Xenopus tropicalis: one gene and its partners. The protein of the gene in region 4 interacts with the protein of the main gene of each other region in a pairwise test. Links are inferred from orthologs where the notes say so. Each region holds a gene or a part of one and is shown on either strand. Other genes may lie near its edges. The genes, in order: dock2, ncoa5, chtop, khdrbs2, cirbp, hnrnpr and hba4.

Evidence for each region.
Region 1: the proteins of khdrbs2 (region 4) and dock2 interact in binary tests that used the Homo sapiens proteins (3 or more experiments, as listed by UniProt). The two-hybrid records come from large-scale screens. The link is inferred for Xenopus tropicalis from reciprocal best matches to the Homo sapiens genes KHDRBS2 and DOCK2.
Region 2: the proteins of khdrbs2 (region 4) and ncoa5 interact in a two-hybrid assay, tested with the Homo sapiens proteins (2 studies listed by BioGRID). The two-hybrid records come from large-scale screens. The link is inferred for Xenopus tropicalis from reciprocal best matches to the Homo sapiens genes KHDRBS2 and NCOA5.
Region 3: the proteins of khdrbs2 (region 4) and chtop interact in binary tests that used the Homo sapiens proteins (3 or more experiments, as listed by UniProt). The two-hybrid records come from large-scale screens. The link is inferred for Xenopus tropicalis from reciprocal best matches to the Homo sapiens genes KHDRBS2 and CHTOP.
Region 5: the proteins of khdrbs2 (region 4) and cirbp interact in binary tests that used the Homo sapiens proteins (3 or more experiments, as listed by UniProt). The two-hybrid records come from large-scale screens. The link is inferred for Xenopus tropicalis from reciprocal best matches to the Homo sapiens genes KHDRBS2 and CIRBP.
Region 6: the proteins of khdrbs2 (region 4) and hnrnpr interact in binary tests that used the Homo sapiens proteins (3 or more experiments, as listed by UniProt). The link is inferred for Xenopus tropicalis from reciprocal best matches to the Homo sapiens genes KHDRBS2 and HNRNPR.
Region 7: the proteins of khdrbs2 (region 4) and hba4 interact in binary tests that used the Homo sapiens proteins (3 or more experiments, as listed by UniProt). The two-hybrid records come from large-scale screens. The link is inferred for Xenopus tropicalis from reciprocal best matches to the Homo sapiens genes KHDRBS2 and HBZ.

The regions. Positions count from the first base shown.
Region 1 is NC_030679.2:32,747,079-32,750,578, reverse strand, and holds part of dock2 (dedicator of cytokinesis protein 2), read left to right. Parts: intron 1-608; coding exon 609-792; intron 793-3,369; coding exon 3,370-3,467; intron 3,468-3,500. UniProt on the Homo sapiens protein: Involved in cytoskeletal rearrangements required for lymphocyte migration in response of chemokines. Activates RAC1 and RAC2, but not CDC42, by functioning as a guanine nucleotide exchange factor (GEF), which exchanges bound GDP for free GTP.
Region 2 is NC_030686.2:20,087,902-20,091,313, forward strand, and holds part of ncoa5 (nuclear receptor coactivator 5), read right to left. Parts: intron 153-3,412; coding exon 37-152; intron 1-36. UniProt on the Homo sapiens protein: Nuclear receptor coregulator that can have both coactivator and corepressor functions.
Region 3 is NC_030684.2:144,107,987-144,112,228, reverse strand, and holds the start of chtop (chromatin target of PRMT1 protein), read right to left. Parts: upstream 2,801-4,242; 5' UTR 2,691-2,800; intron 821-2,690; 5' UTR 804-820; coding exon 739-803; intron 1-738. UniProt on the Homo sapiens protein: Plays an important role in the ligand-dependent activation of estrogen receptor target genes. May play a role in the silencing of fetal globin genes.
Region 4 is NC_030681.2:95,041,043-95,044,542, reverse strand, and holds part of khdrbs2 (KH domain-containing, RNA-binding, signal transduction-associated protein 2), read right to left. Parts: intron 550-3,500; coding exon 403-549; intron 1-402. UniProt on the Homo sapiens protein: RNA-binding protein that plays a role in the regulation of alternative splicing and influences mRNA splice site selection and exon inclusion. Binds both poly(A) and poly(U) homopolymers. Phosphorylation by PTK6 inhibits its RNA-binding ability.
Region 5 is NC_030677.2:99,957,614-99,961,801, reverse strand, and holds the start of cirbp (cold-inducible RNA-binding protein), read left to right. Parts: upstream 1-1,388; 5' UTR 1,389-1,443; intron 1,444-1,996; 5' UTR 1,997-2,004; coding exon 2,005-2,107; intron 2,108-2,209; coding exon 2,210-2,316; intron 2,317-2,789; coding exon 2,790-2,910; intron 2,911-3,539; coding exon 3,540-3,633; intron 3,634-3,717; coding exon 3,718-3,779; intron 3,780-4,032; coding exon 4,033-4,046; 3' UTR 4,047-4,188. UniProt on the Homo sapiens protein: Cold-inducible mRNA binding protein that plays a protective role in the genotoxic stress response by stabilizing transcripts of genes involved in cell survival. Acts as a translational activator.
Region 6 is NC_030678.2:82,773,225-82,777,326, reverse strand, and holds the start of hnrnpr (heterogeneous nuclear ribonucleoprotein R), read left to right. Parts: upstream 1-1,302; 5' UTR 1,303-1,500; intron 1,501-4,102. UniProt on the Homo sapiens protein: Component of ribonucleosomes, which are complexes of at least 20 other different heterogeneous nuclear ribonucleoproteins (hnRNP). hnRNP play an important role in processing of precursor mRNA in the nucleus.
Region 7 is NC_030685.2:40,402,025-40,405,855, reverse strand, and holds hba4 (uncharacterized protein LOC100216102), read left to right. Parts: upstream 1-1,430; 5' UTR 1,431-1,516; coding exon 1,517-1,611; intron 1,612-2,489; coding exon 2,490-2,694; intron 2,695-3,117; coding exon 3,118-3,246; 3' UTR 3,247-3,331; downstream 3,332-3,831. UniProt on the Homo sapiens protein: The zeta chain is an alpha-type chain of mammalian embryonic hemoglobin.

The DNA of each region.
Region 1 (3,500 bases), on a different chromosome or scaffold from region 4:
TAGAACAATATATTTATTCTGCAGAAACCATTACCATACCTGAGAAAACAGCTTTAGAAGCTTTCTCCATTTGCTTAAGATAGCAGCTGCCGTTTTAAGTAGCTTCCTGCCTGCAGTTCAGCCGTTATAGCTGAGATCACACATTCCTAAGGGAGGGGGAGGGAGTTCTTAGCATTCTCGTGGAAGGGAGGAGCAGGAGAGGGGAGAGAGAAGAGAACCGCGCATACTCTGGCCACTGGTATTAAGGATGTTTCTAAGAGAGGAAGTCAGACACTGGAACATCATGTTTACAAAAAAAGAGAAGAAATCATGTGTTTCCTTTGATAGAGGACTCAGTGCAGCGTTTCTGTGAGTGCTTATGGTTGTATTTACATAGACCTTTGTGATAAAGCTTACTTAGGTTTTACATTTTCTTCTCCTTCAGATTTGGAGTAGTGGTTTATAAGAGAAGCAAGAAAACCAGTTTCATTCCTCTTGAATGGTGTGTTTGAAAGACTGGTGCATTTTGTATAGGACATTTATATTAAAAAAAAAAAAGTATATTTTGAAGAATAATATTCTACTCCACTACATATTTTTTTATTGAAGTGGTGTTATGTTGCTTTCAGGGTGATAGTAAAAAAATGGAAGACGGCAGTACCTATTTGCATTTTCCTTTCACCCGTCAACAAATGGATAATAAAGGATCCACATTCAGCAGGAACAGCAGTAGTTCGGGAGGCCTGTCTGTGAGCTCACGAGATGCCTTCTCCATTTCCACCCTTGTTTGTTCAACTAAATTAACTCAGAATGGTAGGTCAATTGCGCTGGGTATCTTCATATTATGAACCACTGCCTGTTTATTTTATACATAATCCACTACCCAGGTGCACTCAACATAATGGAATTGCCAACACAACTCCCTATATAAGGACAATGGCACACGGGGAGATTTGTTAGACAGTAAAAATGCGCTACCGCGTTGGTGACAGACCTCCTGAGAAATCCAGCCCTTTTGCTAACACTTACATTGAAGCAAGTAAATTACATTACTTAGGCTTTATCATGGGAAATTGCCTTCTTTTGCATGTTCCCACAATTAAGCCGAATATCCCTGAGTAATTTATTTTACTTGCGGTGATTCCAATGTTAGCGAAGGGGATGGCATTTTTGGGAGAAAAAGATGCACTACCGCAGGTACCATATCTCCCTGTTTGTCATTGTCCTAAATGTCATTTTAAAAATTGTTTGTAAAACGGCTAAAAGCTATGTATTATTTATATAGCACCAACGCATATACACAGAGCTTATACTGCAGTCCTTGCGCCAGAGGAGCTGGGTCCCAATCACATTCACTATGGTCAGAAGCCAATTAAACTGCCTGTATGGTTTTGGAGTAAACCCACACAGACATGTGGAGAACATACAACTCCTTGTAAAAATGTACTTAATAAAATAAAATTTTAAGCAACTTTCCAATATTTTTGGAAAGTATTTTTGTTTTTTAATGTTACTTGTAAATTTAATTGCAATTTAAACCAGGGCCTAACTGTCTTTATCTACATATCCCAAAAATCAGCTTGTCTCCTGCCAAGACTCCATTTTCCACAATTCCTTGCATGCTATTCACAGGTCTGTCAGTCAGAACGAGCAGAGCAAGGAACAGCAAGGAACAATACTGTTTTTAGTTTCATTTAGATGACTTTTAGGGCAGTGACACATGAGAAGTTTTGTCACTTAAGTTAAAATGAAGATGAAATGGCTGAAAATACCCTACCATTGCTGAACACTGAAATCAATATGGGTACGTCAGTCAAATCTTGTAACTGCGTGAAAAGAATTGCCTATGTATTTTCCGGTGACTACTGAATGTGAATGATATACCTACAGTGAATTCAGTGCTTGTCAATGGCATGATATCTTTGGGTGGTTTTTGTCTGTATTTTAACAGGGCAACATAATGTCCAGTGTGTAATACATGTTTAATGAATGTTATAGAAAGTTTCTTAGAATTGTCTTTAATTGGGCGCCTACAACCCCTTTATATCTTTTATAAGTAGTTAGTCATAGTTAGTAAGTCACCTGATGCACTGGGGAATACTGCCCTAGACCCTGAATAAATAATATTATAGTAATACTAATAATAGGCAGTATCACACATAAAATATTTGTTTGGTACACAAAACAATCATAAATTTATCCAAAATTCAAATAAATCTACCGTACTAAAGGGACATATGTATGTCAATGACCCTGAGCTCCGCCCTACAAATTGATTTTTGTCATTGGACGCTTTCTCAGAGGATGGTATACATTATTTTTCCTGTTAACACAACTTTATTCATGATATTTTTTGCACTTGCATCACAATAGAATTAAAAACTGTTGTTTTTATTTAATCCTGCCAGAAAAAGGCCCAGCTGAACTAATGGTTCCTAAAGACTATTATTGATTTATGAAACTTATTTGCCTTTTGTAGACTATTTTAGAAAAATCGAGAAGAGTCTTAAATAAATAAAGCTTAGGGGCAGATTTATCAAGATGTCAGTTTAGCGCTTAATACATAAAAACTCACCCACGTTCTATTCATTCCTATGGGGTTTTTAGAAGTGTATTCATCAAAAAGTGAGTTCTAACTTTCACCCATTAATAAATACACTTCTTAAAATCCCATACATATGTACAACTCACCAATGTTCTATTCATTCCTATGAGATTTTTTGAAGTGTATTTATCAATGGTTGAAAATTAGAACTCACCATTTGATAAATACACTTCTGAAAATCCCATAGGAATGAATAGAACGTGGGTGAGATTTATGTATTAGGATCTAAACTCACATTTTGATAAATCTGCTACTTAGTATTGGATTGTGCCACTTGTAATCATAAATTAAAATTTTTGTTGTATTATAGGCTAAACTCATTTAGAGCCCGGGCAACTCTCATTAACTTCTACATGAACTCGCCAGCTTTTAGACTAATACGATTTTTTCGTAAGCATTTTTTTTTATATTTACGATTTTCAGAAATTATCGTATCCAATCCGAATTTTTCCAATTCGGGATTCGAACTCGTGTTTTAATAAATCGGCCCCTAAATCTCAAATTCAATTGTTAATAAATCAGCCCCCTATTCTATTAAGTAAAAATGTTAACATATCTAAAATAAAAAATATGGGGTGAACTTATGTAGGGCTACAATTTTGGGAATAAAACGTGATTAGTTGTGCTAGATCATAGACAGAACCCCATAACTGCCTAATACCACCCAATTACAGTTTACTACTGTACCCGCTTGTCTTTCATTTTGTGTGATTATGTTTGTGTTGGGCATTGTTATTATCTTATTATTATCTTTTACAAACCATTGCTTATTTTTTCTTTCTAAGTTGGCTTGCTTGGACTCCTGAAATGGCGCACAAAGCCAGAACATTTGCAGGAAAATTTAGAAAAGCTGAAGATTGTGGATGGGGAAGAAGTTGTGAAAGTATGTTACATAAGAACATGTTGCTGGAAACAT
Region 2 (3,412 bases), on a different chromosome or scaffold from region 4:
ATGTTAAGCCTTGTAAGAATAAGCTTAAGAACAAACCAGGTTCAGGTTCCCTTAACGGTCTATCCAATGTATCCCGGTAACGGTCCAAAAGGATGTCATCTTTCTTACGATAAAGATCATCAGGACGGTATCTATCAAAATGCTCATCACGTCTGAAAGATAAACAACCAGACTTTAATTTGTGCAACATTTGCGGATTCTAAACTAATGAAAAAACAGCCAATTAGGGCAAAATTCAAAAGCATTTGCTTTTTGAATTTTGCATAAATTGGCTGATTTAGGTCTACTAACTCTCTAACTACATTTACGTGGCCTGTATTCACTCGTCATTGAACAAGCTCTCTCACTAATACACAAGTCCAAAAGGCTGTCTGTGGGCCAAATACAATGCCCCAAATCATTATGGACCAAAGCCAGACCAAGGGTTCCACTGCTATATATTACAATACAGTAATTGTTTAAATGAGTTATATTCACTGCAGGAGGAACACCACACACACACACACACACACACATTTGACCGTTATTTTGTACAAACCCATGTAAGGCATTATCTTTCACATGCCTGTATTTATTATACAATTTATAGAAAATATATACATTTTTGTTTATTATATATTTATATAACTGAAGAGATTTTTAATGTTACATTTATGTTAGGTCCAGAGAAGCTGATTGAGAAATTCCTGAATTGAAGGGAAAACAGTGGGGATAACAAGACAATATTTTCTAAAAGGTGTAATGCAACAGACTCTATTTCAATAAACTAGACAATAGGTTAAAGTAAAGTCACCCAGGCTTGTGTAAATGAACATTTAACAAAAAAAAACAAAAAAACTGAGAAATATATAATGTAGTTAATGATGTCATGTTTGTACCTTATTCAGTTAATACATTTGAAGCTCCGAGAGGTATCAGAGCCTTACCTTCTGAACTTTAAAAATTACACAAATTTGTGTTTGCTTAAAAGCACTGGCATAACAAGAAAAAGCATTTGGCATTTGTGCAACCATAATACATACTTTAAAACAATGGTTCCAAAACTCAAACTCCTGGAAGCCCAAACTGGAGGAATATCAGGGTGAATAAATGTCACAGCAATAAAATAAAGTCACTTATCCTTTGCAGTCATGCAAAAGTATACTTCATCCATCTCCATCCATTTACTTTGCAGCAGAGGGGGAAAAAAATTCTTCTCGATCGGACCAGTGCCTGTATCAACTTGTACTAAGAGCTGTCTCCCACAACACTATTTCCTCACTTGCTAAAAAGCTGTCCCTTCTTAAATCCATCTAATGCAGTGCTGTCCAACTTCTACGGTGCCGAGGGCCAGAATTTCTCTAGCATACATGGTGGAGGGCCGCTAATGGAAGCCAGTTTTGACCACTCCCCTTTTTGAAACCACACCCACTTCAAACCACAAATATTTTATCACAATGGTGGTAGCACAGCAAAATCCCAAATGCTTGGTCCTTACTGTGGGGATATCGACCATCATTCATATGTGAAAGAATTATGTCATATTAAGATATACCCTTAAATTCCATATACCTCCTCCTCCCCAGTACATAATTACACACCTTAGGGACGATTTAATGGCTATTTCCAACTGCTAACAAACTCCCACAACAAACCCCTGCCAGGTTCACCTCCCACAAGCAGCATAGGGCAAGCAGAGTATGGCACACACAGGCAGGACTCCGCCTGTCCTATGCTGTCTGTGTGTGCCATACTCTGCCTTCCCTATGCTGCCTGTGTGTGCCATACTCTGCCTTCCCTATGCTGCCTGTGTGTGCCATACTCTGCCTTCCCTATGCTGCCTGTGTGTGCCATACTCTGCCTGCCCTACCCTGCCTGTGTGCCCTACCCTGCCTGTGTGTGCCATACTCTGCCTGCCCTACCCTGCCTGTGTGTGCCATACCCTCCCTGACCTATGCTGCCTGTGTGTGCCATACTCTACCTGCCCTATGCTGGCTGTATGTGCCATACTCTGCCTACAGTACCTATGTCTGAGGTGTGAAGAAGTGAACAATGGGAGTGATTACAGTCTGAGCCTGAGGTGTGAACACTGCAGGGGGTGAACAATGCAGGGATTAAAAGGTGTGAAAAACACAGGGGATTACATTTTTAAACAATACAGAGGGATTACAGCCTGAATCTGAGGTGAGAACCATGCAGGGGGCCAGTTAATCTCAGTACTGATACCATTTAATGCTTACTCAAAGGTAAGCCATCAAAGCAGCCAGACAGGTGGGGGGCCACACAGAGGGGGGTCGCGGGCCGCCAGTTGGACAGCACTGATCTAATGTATCAGCCAGTACAACTGATTCAGGGAGAGAATTCCACAACTTATTTAGGCGGAACCTCCTTTCTTCTAATTAGAATGGGTGCCCTTGTGTCAGTTGGACCTACTGGTAAATAAAGCATTAGAGAGATTATATGAGCTGCTTATATATTTATACATAGTTATCATATCCCCCCTTAAAGGAGAATGCAAGTCAAAATTTAAAAAGCATACTGCCCAATAGTCCTACTCCTGCAAATCTATGCCCTTTGTTTGCCCTTGTAGCTCCTGACTGGCATTGCTTGATGTATTATCCCACAGTAAGTCCACAGAAGGGGAAGGGAAATGGAAAAGTTTTGGAAATAACCTAAAGTTGCTAAGTTGGAAATGTACCTATGTGAAGTGGTTCCTAATACTGCCTGAAATTAAGAGGTGGGAATACAGAGTCGTGAGCTAAAAGCAAACCAATTGGATGCCATATAAACCCAAGGGGGTCTGTAAGTAGATTGGCAATCGGTTAGAGATATCACAACTGGGCACAAAAGGGTGATATAAGTAAAAGTTATCACTGGTGTTAAAAAGCACATGAGAGTGCACATTATGAAGTAATAACAGTATTGCATTATATATTTTTTTCTTTTTCTTTTCCTCAAAAGACCTCATTGCAAAGTCTAAAGCAGAAGAGGGCACTTTGGAGTATTTTATTGAACTGTATTTGACCTGGGACACAAGGTATCTGAAGTGAGGAGCATACACTGAATATTGCACTTATTTCTATTTGTAAAAATTGCTTGCTGTAGGCAAGTTTATTATCTACATGGACTTCAAGGTCCTTCTCCATTATGGATTTGCAGGTATAAGTGGCTTGCATATTTTTACATCCCAGGTGCATGACCTTACATTTATCCACATTACATCTCATCTGCCACTTAGCCGCCCAGATTGCTAGTTTGTCAAGATCCTGCTGCAAGGATGCCACATCCCGGATAGAATTAATTTGGCTGCAGAGTTTTGTGTCATGCAAATGGTCACACATTACTTACAACACCGCCCCCCCACCCCCACTTCATTATTGAACAAGTTAAAGAAAAGTGGACTCAGTACAGAACCCTGAGGGATACCACTAAA
Region 3 (4,242 bases), on a different chromosome or scaffold from region 4:
GGTTGCTAAGGTAATTTGAACCCTAGCAACCAGATAACTGCTGAAATTCCAAACTAGAGCATTGCTGAACAAAAAGTGAAAAAAAAAAAAAACGAAGACCAATTGCAATTTACTCTCTACATCATACTAAAAGTTAACTCAAAGGTGAACTTCCCCTTTAATACCAACTGCACCAGTTACGGGAAAGACCATGGCACGAGAGGGGTACAGATGGAACAGGAAGGCATGAATGGGATGGTTAAACCCCAGGGGGACCCCAAGAAATGAGGGGGTGCAAGAGCAGACACATGCAGGGAATGGACTGAGCAAAGCGGTTGCCTCTTACAAGACCCTAGAACGAGGTTAAAGGGCCTCTGGGCAGGGAGAGAGACCCCCGAATCATGCCTCTTACAGGAGCGACCACACGCGGGCATGTGTCGCCCCCCGGGCACGGCAGCGGGTGTAACGCAGCGCAGGTAACATGCTACCAGGCCGCAGCTGAGATTCTGACCCATGTACATACGTGTGGAAGAGAAGGGGGGGAGTGAGTGTATCACATTGCCTGATTATACTTTACCAACTGCTAGTGACAATCTCACACACAGGCCCGGCCCCCTGTGGTACAGCTGCCGCAGCAGCGGGCGCCCACTTTTGTGTTTAAGGGGGGGTGGGCACGGGGCGAGGCATGCCCATGTGAGGCAGTGTGAGACACGGGCTACATATGCTATAGCAGCTGCCCGGCCTGTGGGGCTTCCTCACCGCTCATTCAGCGACAGCTTTGTGGTACTCTTTAGCACAACTTTAGATGCAGACGGGGCGGCCATCTTGAAGTCTGGCAAACCTGCAAGGGACACAGCAAAGTTAGTCACGTGTTTGTAACACACAGTCCCCTTTACTCTAAACAGGGAGTGTAGGACATGAGCAGCACTGGTACCGACCCAACCCTGCCCCCCCCCGAACCACTGTCCCATAAACAGAACTATACCTCTCAGCCCCCCAAAGCCCTTTAGTACCCTGCCCCCCCCAGAACCACTGTCCCATAAACAGAACTATACCTCTCAGCCCCCCAAAGCCCTTTAGTACCCTGCCCCCCCCCCAGAACCACTGTCCCATAAACAGAACTATACCTCTCAGCCCCCCAAAGCCCTTTAGTACCCTGCCCCCCCCAGAATCACTGTCCCATAAACAGAACTATACCTCTCAGCCCCCCAAAGCCCTTTAGTACCCTGCCCCCCCCAGAATCACTGTCCCATAAACAGAACCTATACCTCTCAGCCCCCCAAAGCCCTTTAGTACCCTGCCCCCCCAGAATCACTGTCCCATAAACAGAACTATACCTCTCAGCCCCCAAAGCCCTTTAGTACCCTGCGCCCCCCCAGAATCACTGTCCCATAAACAGAACTATACCTCTCAGCCCCCCAAAGCCCTTAGTACCCTGCCCCCCCAGAATCACTGTCCCATAAACAGAACTATACCTGCTCAGCCCCCCAAAGCCCTTTAGTACCCTGCCCCCCCAATCCCCCCCAAAGACTAACCCTCTCCAACCAAGCCTTTAAAACCCTTGCCCCCCCCCCCAAAGCCCCTTAGTACCCTGCCCCCCCCCCCCCAGAAGCCCTTTAGTACCCTGCCCCCCCCCCAAAGCCCTTTAGTACCCTGCCCCCCCCCCAAAGCCCTTTAGTACCCTGCCCCCCAAAAGCGGCTAGGACCCTCCCCCCCCCCAAAGCCCTTTAGTACCCTGCCCACCCCCCCAAAGCCCTTTAGTACCCTGCCCCCCCCACAAAGCCCTTTAGTACCCTGCCCCCCCCCCAAAGCCCTTTAGTACCCTGCCCCCCCCCAAGCCCTTTAGTACCCTGCCCCCCCCCCAAAGCCCTTTAGTACCCTGCCCCCCCCCAAAGCCCTTAGTACCCTGGCCCCCCCCCAAGCCCTTTAGTACCCTGCCCCCCCCCCAAAGCCCTTTAGTACCCTGGCCCCCCCAAGCCCTTTTAGTACCCTGCCCCCCCCCAAAGCCCTTTAGTACCCTGCCCCCCCCCCAAAGCCCTTTAGTACCCTGCCCCCCCCCAAAAGCCCTTTAGTACCCTGCCCCCCCCAAAGCCCTTTAGTACCCTGCCCCCCCCCAAAGCCCTTTAGTACCCTGCCCCCCCCCCAAAGCCCTTTAGTACCCCTGCCCCCCCCCCAAAGCCCTTTAGTACCCTGCCCCCCCCAAAGCCCTTTAGTACCCTGCCCCCCCCAAAGCCCTTTAGTACCCTGCCCCCCCCCCAAAGCCCTTAGTACCCTGCCCCCCCAAAGCTTAGACCTGCCCCCAAAGCCCTTTAGTACCCTGCCCCCCCCCAAAGCCCTTTAGTACCCTGCCCCCCAAGCCCTTTAGTACCCTGCCCCCCCAAAGCCCTTTATACCCTGCCCCCCCCCAAAGCCCTTTAGTACCCCTGCCCCCAAAGCCCTTTAGTACCCTGCCCCCCCCAAAGCCCTTTAGTACCCTGCCCCCCCCCAAAGCCCTTTAGTACCCTGCCCCCCAAAGCCCTTTAGTACCCTGGCCCCCCCTCCCAGCCCCCCAAAGCCCTTTAGTACCCTGCCCCCCCAGAATCAGTCCCATAAACAGAACTATACCTCTCAGCCCCCCAGGCCTCTATGCCCAGGGGCGTGGGAAGCAGTTACCCCCGGCCCCCCATTCATACCCCAGCACCGAGCCCGGTACCCCCTCCCCTCACACTCACCGAGCGGCTCTGGAGTCCGGGGTGCGCTTGGCTAACGGACGGGATCCCCCCAAATAAAAGCAAGAGGGCTACGGTAGCACTGACTCTCCCTGCCTATCGCTCTACTCCCGACACACAGCACAAAATGGCGCCTAACACTGACCCTACGCCGGCAAAATGGAGGCGGCTTTAATGCGTCGAGCCACGTATCTCCATTCCCCGCCCCTTCCGAGCCTCTTAGTGGATGGTTACTATGGATACCTGCCCGGGATGGGTGTCCATCTTGGGAAGGGAAATGCGCTACAAATCAACGAGAGGTCGCCGCCATCTTGGGATGGGCACGCAAAACACTCACCTACATAACTGACTAGTTTCATTTTCAGCAATTGCGCTCTTTACATTGCAGAATCTCAGAATGTAGGGGTTGCTAAACTATATCTGACGTTATTATTAGCTAAAAAACAAAACTTTGTTGTTTCTGAGGTACAGGTCCTGAACTGAACTGTGTTACATGTGCTGCTTAATGGCAGCATTAATGTGTCTATGAACATTCCCATTCATCCAGGCCATGATATACAGTATCTAGCAGAATTAAGTCTAAAGCAACTGGACTTTTCTGAGTTTTTTTCTTGAAAACATTTCACCACTCATCCCAGTGGCTTCTTCAGTTCTGAAGAAGCCACTCAGATGAGTGGTGAAATGTAAACTCAGAAAAGTCCAGTTGTTTTTAGACTTAATTCTATAATGTCTTATTTTCACAGCCGCTGGTCTTACATATCAACTGGACAGGCCTAGCAGAACCCACTGATGGTACTGGACTGAACTCCCATGTTCCACACTAATATAATGGACCATTTCTCATGAATGTCTCCGTTAGGCAGCACACACTAATGTCTTTGTTAGAAGCCGGTCTCATTCCCAAGAATGTAATAAAGTCACTTATGTTGTCTTGAAGCAGAGAGCAGACAGCAAAAACCAATAGGAATGTGTATCCAAGCTGGGACCCGGTATTAAGCGGATATTTCCAGATGGTACCTGGCCGTCCATAAACAACACCCTGTCCTTAATTCTTCATGTCAATGTGGAACTCTGGGTAATCAGTTGTGGGGGGGGGGGGCAGGTAACCGAGCACTATGGCATTGTCCCATTTACAAGTGGGGAATCCCCTTACCGGGAATGGATTTGCCCTTCTATCCCTCACTAATACCAGCGCCCTCCCCTGTGGAACCTGTGTGTTGGGGCAAAATCGTCCCACTGGTAAAGGAGCAAGAAGCCCCCAGGTACCCGTGGGCCAGCAACTCACAGTGGCCAGAGAAATTATGTTTACAGACGTGTTCTCGGAACTCCCTGGTAAGACATATAAAGTAGGAAGAGACCCAGGGGTGAAAGTCAGATCTCACCCCTCAAAAGTCTAATAGTGACTGGCATAGCTCCATAGTCCTGGTCCCTAAGCCATATGGGCCAATAAGGTTTTGTATAGACCTGTGCAAGTTCAATGCCCTGAGTGGATAAGCGAATGGACTCCTTGGGGGAGGCAGTGTATATATATCTACCTTAGACTATTGGCAGATTC
Region 4 (3,500 bases):
AAATTTCAAAATTCGAGTTTGCTTTTTTTTTGTCAGTTCATGAAAAAATGCAACGAAAAAACGCAAATATACATGAGAATTTTCTTTAAAAACCTTGGATAGTCACTATTAAGTGAATGCAGGAGAATTGTCGCAAACAACTTTTTCATTTCATTTAAACCTTCCACATTTTCAGCCTCATCAAAAGCAATGGAACAATGTGACTCTCGCTTTTGTGCAACTTTTCTTAAAAAATACAAGACCCCAAATATTCTGTAGCATTTTTTTTCTAAAATAAGCTAGTGCTTGAGGAAAAAAACACCATCACAGAAGAAAAAGTCGATTTTGCGTTTTTCCTCAAACCTCAAAAATGGGTAAACTCTTTAGATGTATAAAAAATACTGATACATTTTTGACACTTACCGGAACAAGGAATTTTTTGATTTCTTCTAATGCATGGCTCATGCGAGAATAAGCTTCTCCTGGTGGAGCAAATACTTCAAGTAATACATGAAGCTCATCACTTAAGTGTGCATGTTTTGCTTCATCACTCTTTCTTAATTCTTCCTCCTAAAAGATATTATTTAAAGTTATAGAAATGTTTTTTTGCAATGATTTTAAACCAAGCTACATTTTTAGGCAATAAATGTCAAACTATATAAATAAAATACATTATAAAAAATAGAAAAATGTTTTTTCTTTTTTTGGAATTATTTTAAAATCTGACAGGGCTTTGGGGTAATTAAGTAATTTATGAAATATGTCTGTCAACCTGTCTAATAATCCCTTTGCAAAAATAATCCATATTTGAAATTCTATATTTTTGAAAACAAAAAGATAACCTTGTAATTTAAAGTTTGTTATTATTATATAAACCAACTGAAATTTCCTTGTGCAAATATTACATAAATCTAGAATATAATCAGTAAAAGCTGCTCTACATCATTTCATCACCATATTAGACCTTTTATACAGCCAAGAACCAGTTCATAAAAAAATACATCAATTTTGTGTAACTTTCAAGGGCAATTGCATATTGAGTAGCCCTTTATTGGCACTGGCACTGTGTGACCATATGCCTATGGTTTTTGGTTTTGCATATCTTTGGCTATTTGCATATTTTGTGTTTAAGTATATAAAAGTTGGCATGGTATTTGAAAAACACTCTTGCAGCTTACAGTTATTATTCAGGCAAACATTGAGGGACAGATTTACTAAAACTCTAACTTTTCTCAGTTTTTTCTTTTAAAAATTCAAAACTTATTTCCATAAATGTCTGACATTTACTAAAAAGTCTGAACTGAAAAAGTGTGTGTGGGAAAAAGTCACAGGAAAGTTGCAACATTTTTTGACTAGTTGCACCAAAATCTCTACTTTTTCAAACTGTTGCACAAAAAAAACAGCGTCAATAATCTAAAAACCTGTTAAATTTTGAAGCAAAAAATGGATCCTCCAGCGAAGAAAAGAGACATTTACCATTTACTTCTACATGAAGTGAGTAGTGTTGACTTTTTTCTGCAACTTTTAGTGCTAAAAAATCTGAACTAAAAAAAAGAAAATCCAACCAGTAGGCCCCGTAAAGGTCATAAGGCTAATTTAACTAATTTAACAAATTTTGTATTCTTTGTATTCCACTGGCCCACACAAGGTAAATTTACAAGCTTTTGTTATGTGTGTATTTATTCTTTAAATGGATGGTATGCACTAGGGTATTGCTATTTATTGTCTTAGGTAAGTAAACCCCTAAACACAAAGAAAATAACAGGACAAATATATATGTGCAATCTGTCTGCAATAGCTACATTAGAAACACATAATAGTTGTTACTATTGCCTATAAGCAATTGTGCTAGGGCAGTGATCCCCAACCAGCGGCTCGTGAGCAACATGTTGCTCCCCAACCCATTGGATGTTGCTCCCAGGGGCCCAAAAGCAGGTCCTTATTTTTGAATTCCTGGCACAAAGTCATGCTTTAGTTACATAAAAACGATGAGCACTGCCAAACAGATCCTCCTGTAGGCTGCCAGTCCATGTAGGGGCTACTAATAGCCAATCAATTGGTGCCACCAGGAAATTTTTGGATGTTTCTGTTGCTTTCCAAATTTTTTTAACATTTGAATGTGGCTCACAGGTTAAAAATGTTGGGGACCCCTGTGCTAGGGTGTAAATCATTCAATACACGTGAATGTATACCAAGAAAAATTACCTGAAAACTACCCCATAAAAATAATCAACATGGAGGTTTATTGATTACATAAATGTGTGCATACAATATCTGAAAATAATGAAGCAAAACTCATTTTCACAGTTTGCAAGATTCTGAAGTAAATGTCCAATTAGGGAATATACCAAATATACCATTAGGCATATGTCACAATTATCAAAAGCCTGTAATGCTATAAACTTGATTGCAATAATGTATTGATGCAATAATTCCTAAAGGATTAACTATAATTCAAAGCAAAATTTTCAGAAGCAAAAGAAAAAATTGTTTTGACAACCTCCTTATGATCTTTGCTATTTATTTTAAAATTGTGTGAACAAAGTTGCATTTATAACATATAGTTTTTGGCAATTAAATACACTATTAACATAAAAAGCCTGATGAATTAACCGTCATTAGTGATGAGCGAATTTTTTCGGCAGGCATGGATTTGCAGCGAATTTCCGCATTTCACCATTGGTGATTTGTTTCACAAAACTTCTGTGAAAATTCACCACGGAAAAATTCGTTGCACATCAAAAAAGGGCACAGTCGTGAAAAAAGGGCGTAGTTGTGTCAAATTGGGCATGATCACGTATAAAACAGGTGCGGTTGTGTCAATTTATGCGCTGTCACGTCAAAAAAGGGCGTGGTTGCGTCAAAAAGGGCGCGGGTGACAAAAAAAAAATTTGTGCGACAAATGTTTCGCAAATTTTTCGCTGTTTCGCAAATTTTATGACGAAGTGACATGGGACAGATTCGCTCATCACTAACCTTCATTTTTTTGTGATTCGTATTTTCGTATGCTAATTATCACATTTTTTAATTATAAAAAAATAATTCAATATTTATTATTTATTACATAATATTTATTATGTGTCAAAACCAAGTAAAATGTGAATGTAGAAATACACCATGTAAAAGTTTGTGGGGTCATGTAGAATAGTCACTTTTGTGGTTGTTTCACATTGAGTTATTCAATTTTTTTTTAATTCTTGGGGAGCTAATCGATCTATTAAAGTTATGTAAAGTTTACGAATTGAGGTATTTGCATTTTTTCATCATATTTTTTAATAAATCAGTTCAAAAACCTTTCAAATTAAACAAATGCAAATTTTGATCAATCTGCTTAAAAGAACTAAATTACATTTCTAAAAAAAATATATGCCCTCCCACATATTGTATATAGTTACTGCATGATCGCAAGAGAATCTTCACCCCAGTGACGAGGCAGATAAATTATTCTACCATATAAATAAGTGTAGAAATGTATTTTTAACCACAAATGTCCATTTTTTCTGTATATACAGAAACATGGC
Region 5 (4,188 bases), on a different chromosome or scaffold from region 4:
CTACACAGAAAATATTTTATATGTTGCCAGTTTAATGTCATGAAAGTGTAGCTGCACTTTATAATTGTATGTGTGTGTGTGTGTGTAAAAATGTTTCTTCTGTCCCTGACCTGGAAGCAACAAAGACCACAATAGTGACAGGGGCATATGAGGAAGGAATATATTTAAACCAGTGAAAACTGGGTTTAATCTTTTTATTACCACGTTTGGGGGCAGGGTGGCTCTGTGACTGAAAACTTTGTGTACAAGATTATAAAACAGTAGTAGTGCAATACTTGAAAAATATAGTGCGTAATAATCAATGATAGTAGTATATACATAGGGTTTATAAAAGTTTACATGCACAATAACTTTAAAAGGCTGCATACCCCAAGTTTGGGATTAGATATATCCTCACCTATTAAAACGATGTTAAATATAAGTATTTTAAGCATAACCATAATACGTTCAATAACGATAATTATCACCTCTTTTTTTATCAGAATGTACTGTAGGAAAGCAGGGGTGGAAGGGAGATTTGCAAAACGAAATCTAACAGGCATTTTGATGAAAGTCGAGCACCGGGATTGCTATTTTTTTTCCTTTATAAACACCTTTAACTTATGTTCTTGCAATTAAACATAAAAACTATTCGTAAAGACGCCATTCGTTCTGTTATAGGTATAAAGAACGGAGCACCGTTTGCAACAGGGTAATGCATACAGTAACAATCAACTTTCCAGCAACCCTTTTCTGAACCTCCGGCGCCTTTGATTCCGGCGCCATTAGCTCGGCATTGGAATTGCCAAACGCCACTCCTAAACGCTTTAAGAAAATGTCAAGATTGGTTTCGAATAATAACTAAACATTAATGTTACCCGGTATAGCGTTAAAATAATATCATTAATTAGGATATCCGAACACCATTTTAAACAAAAAAAACCCACGATTCATAGCCGAGTTTTAACATGTGCCACCCAGCCCTAAAATGGCGCCTAAGCTCTCTCCTTGTTCTTTGTTCAAACGCGCAACGCAGTAACAAAGAGATCCTCCCAGCGACAATATTCAGCCAATACCAGCAAATAAATCCCAAGAAGCGGTCAGGCGACTGGATCGTCAATTCTAATATGACTCCTCCTCTGAGAAGCGTCCATTGGTATGAAATTATTGTACACTATGGTTATAGTTTAAGAAAATGAACAAAAATAAACACATCATGTGGTAATAGTTTTTAACTAACCACTGCAATACAAATAGTGAACTCTTTATTCATCCGCATTGCTCTGAATGATCTTTTTTCAATATCGCGCTATCAACCAAATGGTGTCGCCCGAACTGGAACTAAATAAATTATTCATGATGTGGGCGGGGTTATTCCTGGTATAAATGACCAAGTTCCGGCGTGAATTGCGCACTTCGCATTCGGCTTCCAACTTGTGTTGTATCGTCCGAAGATCATAGAACGTAAGTGGGGTTTTTCCTTTTTCTTCTGGTTTCAGCGTGTGAATTGTGGAGGTTAGCTCATGTGTCAATTGTTGCCCAATACATTGTAGGTATTCTGTATACGTGGTCACATTTAGTAGTTTAAAACTCCTCGTTCTACAACGCCTCAAATACCGTGTCATACTCGCGCCTTCGCGGCAAAACTGGCACGAATCTACATGTGGCTTAAATTAATTTATTGGAAGGTTCTTATTTAATTTATTGGAAGGCTCTTACTTTCTTCGTAGTGCTAGTCGAAGAGCTGTATATGAGCACAATTCATTATTTGGCGCGTAGTTTTTTTTTTTGTTTAATAAAACAATGAAACTGTCGACTGAAGAGTCGATGTAAAAATCCTAGCGATTGTGCGTGTAGATGGCGAAATAAATCCCTCACACGTTACCGTAAGTGACGTCATCCATGGGCTGAATTCCCGCCTTCTATTGTGCTACTGCGGCAAGGCTCGGATCTCTACCACGTGGTGGCGGCCATATTGGAAAGCGCTTCATGTGGCTTTGTCGTCTTTCTTTATTAGGTCTCACCATGTCTTGTGATGAAGGAAAACTCTTTGTCGGTGGTCTGAATTTTGAAACCACAGAGGAAAGCTTGGAGCAAGTGTTTAGCAAATATGGACAGGTTGCTGAAGGTATGTGTGGGCCTTTTTTTATTTTTTAAAATTAGTTCTTAAGCAGTTTTTTTTTCTTTTTTTTTTTTTTCTTCCTCCTTCTAAAGCAATGTGTATTTTCAGTGGTTGTGGTGAAGGATCGGGAAAGCAAGAGATCCAGAGGCTTTGGCTTTGTCACATTTGAGAATCCTGAAGATGCCAAGGATGCTATGATGGCAATGAATGGGAAGGTAAATGCACACATAGTAACAAATCCTTTTAGGTGTAAAGAGCAAATCTGATTCACTGTCTTTAGTTTATAACTGCCAGGTGGTTGGTGTTTATTGCTGGGATATGTAACACACTTTGTAGTGGCATATTGTCCTTGGTATTTGCATTCTACCACTAGATGCTCACTGTATTAATTAATAATGCTATGAAGGCACTAGGTAACCGCCTTGCATTTTGCAACCTCTAGGTAAACTGCCTTTCTTGAACTGTGAAGGCCCTTTAATTTACTTATTAATTTCAATTACTGTTTTGGCTTAGAATAACATGTTCTAAAAAGGTGTATAGTTATAAATCATGACTAAACAAAGCACAAAGACAAGTGTAATTCAGTGAACAGTACACTGACTTAAATGGCTAAAAATGTCCATTAAACATTAAATCTGACAATATGGCTTCTTTATAACTTTTTTAAATTCTTTTTTTTTATATATAGTCTGTAGATGGCCGTCAAATCCGTGTTGATCAGGCTGGCAAGTCCTCCAATGATAGGAGAGGTGGTTACAGAGGTGGCTCTTCTGGAGGCAGAGGGTTCTTCCGTGGAGGCAGAGGCCGAGGTTGGTATACATACTTTAGTGACATTGCAATATAGACTTGGAATATAAATGTTCTGGTAAACTTTTCCATAATACAAAGGGAAGAGTTAGCTCCCAGTAGATCTCAGAATAACAATTAATAAGAAGAAAGTCTAGCTTTGCACTAGTTACATGGGAGTAGGGGAAACAGGTTACTTGAAAGCAGCTCTAGTGTAGTGCTGGCTCCTGAAAGCTCAGAATCGGGCACAATGCACAGAGATGGCTGCCTACACACTAATAGTACAACTTTTATTTTTCCTTGAGTGAATTTTAGATGGTGGTTCATTTGCTATGTAGACAGTAATTTAGAAATAAGGTATACCATAAGAATCATGACTATATTGGTTAACCTTTCCCGGTAGACAAATTGCAGACGGACATTCCCGTCCCTACCCATTTGAATTAACTATAAGGATACTTTTTGTAGCGGCTTTTAAAGGGTATGTCAACCCTCATAAAAGGCATTATTGCCTGATAGAGAACCATAATTTGTTATTTTTGGTTAGGTTAACATGCCCTATAACCTGGGCTTTTATCTCTTTCCTGCACTAGAGTTGGGACAGGTTAACATTCGTGTAGTTTTATAAAACACAAGAACTTTTTTTGTGCAGGTGGTGGTGGAGACAGAGGATATGGTGGAAGCAGCCGCTTTGAAAACAGAAGTGGAGGTTACCAAAGCAGTGGATCCAGGGATTACTATGGCAGGTAAGTTTTGTGAATGCTCTGTAAGACTTCATTCTATTTTGATATTTGTTCTCCTGACAATGGCCTGTGTCTCTCTTGTGGCAGGAGTCATGGAAGCTATGGTGATCGTTCCGGAGGATCCTACAGGGATAGTTATGACAGCTATAGTAAGTATGTGGGGAAGTTACTAGAGAGGAGGGTGGAAAGGGTGGTACGTCAGTTGTGATCTTCGTGTTCCATCCAGTGATGGCTCTTAACTTCTCAATTTCTCAATTTGCCTCTAATGCATGTGTTGGTTCTGTCCTGGCTACAGGCAATAAGTGTTGGGTAGACATAGCTGGGAAGGGTATGTAGTACCAGTTTAGGGGAGGTGATGCTGGAATCTGTGCCTTTACAACTGTGCCTGCTTCTTGTCCTCAGCTACACAAGAGTAAAATCCATTCCTGACTCAAGATCGTCCTTCCAATGGCTGTATTTATAAAGATTTTTGGAGCTTCGCCGAATCGTTTGTGTAGTATATCTACTTGTGTTCACTTTTTTTTTTAATAGACCTAGTTAGCCTGACAGCTTCTCTAA
Region 6 (4,102 bases), on a different chromosome or scaffold from region 4:
TCTGAAAGATTTGCCCGCCGTTTACGAGCGCTCAATACAAAAAAGTCGTGACAATATACGAGCAAATCATAACGGCTACGAAAAAGTCACTACAATTCGCACAAGTCGTAACGGCTACGAAAAAGTCGTAACGGCGACGAAAAAATCGCAAAAAATACGAAAAAGTCGCAAAGTGTTCGTTTCCAATCCGAATTTTTCCCATTCGGATTCGTGGATTAGTAAATGTGCCCCTATGTTTTGTATTTATATTTTATTATTATATTGACATCTGTCTTTTCTCCTAATATTAGGTATAGTGATGCAGGGCACAAGTAACCCTATATAACTAAACATATTCATATAAATATACATCCATATAAATTGTAAATATTACTCATGAATGCACAGAATGTAGTTTTCAAATTCCACCCCTTTTGTGTCACAATTAGCAAATTTTGTATTATTGTTATTATGGGCTAGGCCTGGATTTTGATCACCAGCCCTGGAATTACTGGAACTGACTAATATGACTGCAGACACTGCACAGAGATCATTGTGAGTGATATTAATAGCTATATCTATAAACAGCGCTTACTAATGTAATGTGATAACCTGTGTCACGTTCCTCTGTGAAACTTGTGTATAACAAGCACTGTTCCCTCTGTTGTAAATGTACTGCTTTTAGCAACAGCATTTGGGGTCTCTTATTTGAAAACCCAATGCCCAGAAAAGCTCCACATTATGAGGCCATCTTGATTTTCATTACATTACTTTAAACCCAGGTCCCAAGCTTTCCGGGTAATAGAGCCCATACTGGTATTTATGATATATGAACAACAAAAATGCAATTACACTGCATCACTGCTTGTGAAAGTTGTGGTATATGCAGAGTAGAAATGTCAACGCTGCGAACACTGACTCTCCTTGGCAGCTTTGGTGTTTTACACCCATACATATAACCGTGCCTTTCATCTTTTCATCTAAGCTGTACCCGAATGTACTGCAAGTGCGCATATTTGTACGTACATATATATGTATGCATATGTGTGTGTAAACGAAACTGGACTTAAACATGCAGCACAGACATTATATTGGTACATGCGATATATATTAATCGGTCCAAACAATAGCTCATTGAAAGCCAGCAGCATTGTCTTCCACCCCGAAAAGCTTCACATCCCATTCCTTTCCATCCTTAGCCATCCCAGAGGCAGCTATTTCATTAGCTACAAACTCTCTCGCAATCACCAATCCGAACCACTTCTTTCATAAGTCTGCCATTGCCTATTATGTACTCCGCTTCCCAATTGGCTGAGGTGTAACGCCTTCCCTCCCGCTTATTCGTCTCCTCCTACCCGCAATAGGCTAGTCCTTGGCAGCTGGTGGTGTGGACCCCGCGGCCAGTATTGTTGATTGGCTTAGTAGGGATAGAGAAGGCGGTGGTTCGCAGTCCGTGAGGCGCGCCATTTTACTAGCTCACTGTAACAGCGGGCGTGAGGCAAGAGGGCCATAGCTCTGCAGGTGAGTAGGCTTCCTCTGTTCTCGTTGCGTACGCTTCTGAGCGTCCGGCCACGGTTTCCGCAAAGCTGTAATGTTTGAACCTGAATAGCAGCCAAGTATGACAACCTTCGCCGCCATTGTACTTGTCCTTTTTGCGTTTTAAATTGGAGTAGATGTAAAACTGTATGAACAGTTAGGTGTGTATTCCGCAGTAATGAATACTATCCTTCAGACCTCAATAAAAAAAATCACTGCAAAACAATGTATAATGCTAATGGAATTCCGGAAAAAATATGGAATGGTTAAATGTTCATTGTAGCTTGTTTGAAGGTGTATGCCATTCATTTTAAATGGGCAGCATCTATTGTGTTCAGTGTATGTAGAGGTCCATGACTTGGGTGCTGAATTGCGTTAGGGCACTAACATAGTAAACGGGCTAGTTTTTATGGGCTGTCATTTATTGCATTTGTTAATATATGTGCCCTTTATACTCTTATTTATATTGCATAGTGTGCAATGTTATGTAACTCATAGCTATTGAAAATGTAGTTTCCAGCTTTGTTGGACAGGGCTTTGATATGTGAGGTTTTGCAGCAGCTGTAGAGACACAGTTTAGTCTCTTCTGGCTTGGCACTTGGAATCGGTGTCAGTTTCTAATTGTACAGTTAATTAATTAGTAGCAATTAAAATGATGCGTTAAAATGAAAGTGTTTTTTGTTCTCACTATAAAGGGAGCTAAGCTCCAGTAACCGTTTTGTGTTGTGATTTACCTATCGGTAATGTGGCAAGGAATTTTGCCATAACTTTTGATTGTTTATGGTGGTTGTTTTCTAAACAAAGTAAATTAGTTGTCAGTTGAGAGACCCTGACTGCCTATGGGCGCATGACACAACTGCCTGACATTGTTTAATTTAATATGCTCGCTGAAAATGTACTATAGTGGATAACAGGCGCACAAGTTGGACTCCGTTGGTTAAATGTAAATACATACAGATCTTAAATGGTTCTTATATGTTGCTTCCCCTGCAATTTTGTCAACATAACAAAAAGCCGAGTTGCATTCTAAGATAACTTGATGTTGATCCTCATTTCTTATCTTATTTTTTCCCCAGTTCTGGTGCTCATTTTGAACTATTTGATGCTAAGATCACAGTCCTTTAAAAGCACACCATCAACCCTAAAAAAAATTTAACACATGGAAACTGTATCTAGTGTTTAAGTGATTGGGGTTTAAGCAATTATCTTATTAAAAACCCAGTGATTGTAATTGTTCACCTGCCTGGGTCTCTGGTCAGGTAGGCCCATTGGAGTGCCCCATGGGCAGATAAGCTACCAACTTGGACTATAGGAGCTGAATCAGAAGCCAAAATCTGCCCATGTATGGCTGCCTTTAGTCAATGGATTGAAGATTGTAGAGGCAGGATTAGTAGCCCTTTTCTTTATTACTATATACATTTTTACAGGCTGGGGAGATAAGAAAAATGATGCCTATACTTTATTCAAATGGGATAAGGGCAAAGACACACAGAACTACTTAGTAGCAGCTACTTGTCACCGCTACTAAATGCCAGAAAATACCCTACCATAGACAATACTGAGAATTGCATCTGCTAAACACTCGTAGAGAGGATTATCAGTAAATGTCTGTTTTTGTAGCAGTGACAAGTAGCTGCTACTAGTAGCTCCATATTGCTTCATCTAAAGTGCTGTCAACTTAGCTAATATAGTACCTGTAAGAAATGCTTGGTATTTTACCTACCAAATTAAAATGCTGTTGTGTAGTTATCCCTAGCAGAAGGAATTCTGGGAAGGAAGCCCAGGATTGCTCTTAATTTCTATACCCTATCCTTACCCACTGGGTTTATAAAGCACTGCCAAGACAGTAGGCTGACTGGATTTCTACCCTGGCTGTGCTTTAAAACCCAGTGGTGAGTTTCTGTCTATAGGGTGTGAAATGGAGTTTCCTTTACAAAAAATTCCTTCTGCTTTGCATATGGATGAGGACATCTCTTCTCAATCAAAATTTTTTTTTTAGTAGCTGTTCCGAGTAATATCAGATTTGGTTTCTTGAAAGGGGCTTTTGAAGAGTAGGGAGGTTATGAGAGGTGTTTAGGAATGGCCTGACCATCCTCATACATTGGCAGCATACACGCGGTAATTACGATTTTTCCCACAACCATTGGGCATATGAAAGATTTTTCATCCTCTCTAGTAACGTTAAGAGCTGAATCGTCAGGTATGCAGGTAAAAACAGAGAAATTATTTACCCCATCTGACAATTTAGCATTAACTTTACAATGTTCAGGCCCCTTCAAAATTTTCAGTCCTTGGTGAGACAACTGATATCCAAGGCTTTTACCAGTAGCGGTCGCCTTGTCTCCCACTGTGCGCACACCGATTATCGTACAAAACTTTGTTTCATATGATAATATCTGTGCGTGTATGACAACCTTAAATCTGCAGGTTGAGTTAAGTTTTCATACCCCACTCCACATTCCATACCCCACTGCAACTAATTTGTACAGGATTTCCATTAGTCTTCTACAAGTAAAGTAATAAAAGTAACTCTTTACCTGAATCAGTCATGGTTGCTGTGGTTTACTGCAGTAGTGCATATTTGCCG
Region 7 (3,831 bases), on a different chromosome or scaffold from region 4:
TTAAAATGCAGAATTGCGAGAGCATATCAATCAGATTGTCTCTGAGAGTACAAGTACAGTGGTATCAAGGCATTTTAAGGAATGCAGTGGTGGAGATATGGCATTTTTAAAAATACACGGCGTTGAGAGATTATTTCCCTCTGACAGGGGCGGTGACATAACATCCAGACTTCTTCATAGGGAAGCATATTGGATATTTAATTTAGGTACACGGCAGCCAAAGGGTTTGAATTTAAAATTTGATGTAATGTGCTGTGTCTGACCAATAGGTGGTGCTGTTAGGCTCAGTTTGGCTACATTCCCTTTTTTCAAGTTTTAATGGGTTCAAGTTTTAATGGATAATGTCAGTTATATAAATTTTGCAACATTGTATTTATTTATTATATTTGTATACATTTTGTCTAAAAAGTAGCAATAGATGCATTCCAGTATAAAACTGTTGTATCTCACTTATATTTCTAAAACCAATGTTTTTAGGAGATCATGAAAACATCTATAAAGGGTTAATAATTAGCATATGCATTAATTGGAATTTTGATGTCATTTCCCCTTTTCTATTTTAAATAGCTGTTTGTGTTCATTTGAAATTTGTGCCTATGACTACGTATCTTTTGTATACAAAACGCGTCAGGACCTTTTTGTTTTAAGATCTCTACAATAAAGACAAGTTTTAGTGGACCAAAGAGTGCGTGCCATTTCTCTTCAAACTGATATTCTAAATAAGTTCATGTGTTTAACACTAAAAGAATGGAATTATATAACTCTCAATGATAATATATGCTATATTAATTACTTAAATTTTAGTTAAAAATATATATATTATGTATTTACTTCTACTGTAACTGCAACGTCAGATTTGCTTGTACAATGTCAACTGCAGTGCAGTTCTGAGAGCACTGCCCATCAACAGGGTGACCATGCTTTGTGGCTTGTCCTAAAGAAAGCAGAGGTATGTACGCCTTGCCTAACAGGTACCACACAGCACTGTTGTATTTCACCTTGCTACTTAGTAGTAATATTGGGTAAAATTAAGTGGATACATTTAATATGCATGTTACATTACAAGTTATCAATGAATTTAGAATGAATTAGCCATAAATCTGACCTTTATATATGTTTAGTTTGGACACAAAGTTTATAATGTAGGAAATGTTGAAGACAATAATGTATACTAACTATAAGAGAGACCTTCTGGAAACAGAACATGTACATTACAAACAAAGCTTTGGCACTATGATGAGTCATTGCTTGCATGGACCAGTATATGATAAGACTATTCAGCCCCATTATCATTCACGTCACTCTCTACATACGTGACTTACTGTATGTGGAGATAAATAACATCAGACAATATAGATTCCTGATCATCATTTCTTAGTTTTAAAGATAAGAGTTTGGGTGTAACAAATATGAGAGCCAATAGAAAATGAATTTGTGGCTTTAAAAGCAAGGTAAAAGTGAGCCATTTTAGGTACTGTCTAGTTCAGCTGCAGAATACCTAAGCCATTCATCAAAAATGACTTTCTCTAGTGCTGAGAAGGCTGCTATTGCCTCCCTCTGGGGTAAAGTGTCTGGCCATGCTGATGAGATTGGAGGAGAGGCTTTGGAAAGGTAATTTACTACATGATTAGTATTATTTTATGACTGTTTAGAAAAATATGTTTATTTTATATTAAAAATACATTGTGTATATATATATATATATATATATATATATATATATATATATATATATATATATATATATATATATATGTGTGTGTGTGTGTGTGTCTGTGTGTAAACATTCTAAAACCACAATTTCTTAATATAATATAAATATTAATAACTAGTTACATTTGTAATATAGTAATTATTATAGTATAAATAATAATTAAATAGTTTCATCTGTAATAGTAATATCTTTGTTGTCACCTATCTCTGTCAGCATTACCACTAACAGTGGTAAAGTAATCACTATTTTTGCCTGCTATAGCTAATTTATGATACTTTGTTTATAAAAGCTTTAAGTAATATAACAAAAAAAAAACAATATTTGGAAATCACTGACTTTCATAGCAGTAAGTATGATAGCATTTACAAATAACTTTAAAACAACTGAAAATGTTTAATTTATGTATTGTGGAAAGTTGCTTAACTTTAGTTCAGTGCATCTATGGTAAATGCCATTTCAGTAAAGACTGCCTAAAATTGTGTAAGAATTTTTTTTTTTTGCAAAACACTGTACTTTTTATTTACCCAGCCATCCAGCAGCACTGTGCATTATACATTTAAGGACTAACTTATGAACTTAGGTGCTGACTCACACAACTGCAGTTGCCAATAGCAACCAATCAACCAAAAAACTATAGTAGACTGTTCAAATCTAATTGCTGATTAGTTGCTATTGGCACATTACTACACTTGTATGACATTTGTTGTAGTTCAGCACATATGCTCATCCCTTATGCTTCTAAAATATCTGTTTATAAATGGTTTGTTTCTTGCAGGTTGTTTTTGAGCTTCCCTCAGACCAAAACCTACTTCAGCCATTTTGATCTGAGCCATGGCTCTAAGGATCTTAGTGCTCATGGAGGAAAAGTTCTGCGAGCCATTGGAAATGCTGCCAGTCACTTGGATGACATTTCTGGCGCTCTGTCTGCCCTCAGTGACCTGCATGCCTACAAACTGAGAGTTGATCCTGGAAACTTCAAAGTAAGTAGCTGGGTAGCTAATTTCCAATGTATTAGCTCAGTGGAAAGTAGAAATTTAGTGTCTGCTAGTTGTAAGCACTTGTCATTTTCTGTGCAATACTGGGCTAATTCTCTTAAAGAATTGGCAAAATGTATATCAGTGTACAACTCTCTCCACTCCACTGCCACTCTCTTTATAATGCCAGCTTTAACCTTCTAATAAACTTAGAGGGAAAACTATCATTTATTTTATTATTCTGAGTCATCTTGTTGAAACTACAGGGCCAACGCCTGCAGTTTATTTCCTATGATTACAAAATGCCCTGGAATAGATAACATATTTAGACACAATGTGTTATTAAAGTTAGTTATGCTACCTGACTAGAGACATGGAACATTGTAGAATTGATCTCTAATGTAACTATCTGTATCTGCTCTCTTGTAGCTGCTGTCTCATTCCATCCAGGTGACTCTGGCTATCCACTTCCCTGCTGAATTCAACGCTGATGCACAAGCTGCCTGGGACAAGTTCCTCTCTGTTGTCTCCTCTGTTCTGGTTTCCAAATACAGATAAACGAACAAAGACAAACGATGAAAAAACAATGACCCTTTCACCAGTGTCAACTGATTCATCAATAAAGTTTTAATCTTATTTTTAATTGTTTTGTTTTACACTTATTTAAGGAAAGTTTCTTCATGGGGTTATTGGTTAAAACAACAGAATAAACTAGAAAGGGAAGTTTGAGAACAAACTTCATGTTGGGTTGAAAAATGTGAAGTCACTGAATGAAATCTGATCTGTTGTTGGCTCTGCCCACTTTTTCTAACCTTGGACCACAGTTATATAGTAAAAACCACTGTGAAAAGTTTGGGGACCCTGGTTTTAATAGTGTCTGAATGGCAGCAATTTTAATTTCCCCACTGAAAGTCAACGAGTGACATCTGATTGGCGGTTGGCGGCTCTGCCTCTTTTTTCTAACCTGGAACTGCAGTTACCCAGTGACTAACTCTGCAAAGTTTAGGGACCCAAGGATTAATAGTTAAAAAATGGCAGCAGTTTAAATTGAAACCAATAAAAGTCAATAGGTAAATTGTGATTGGTGGTTGGTGAGTGTGCCCACTTTTTCTAACCTTGAGTCGAAGTCACCCAGTGACACAG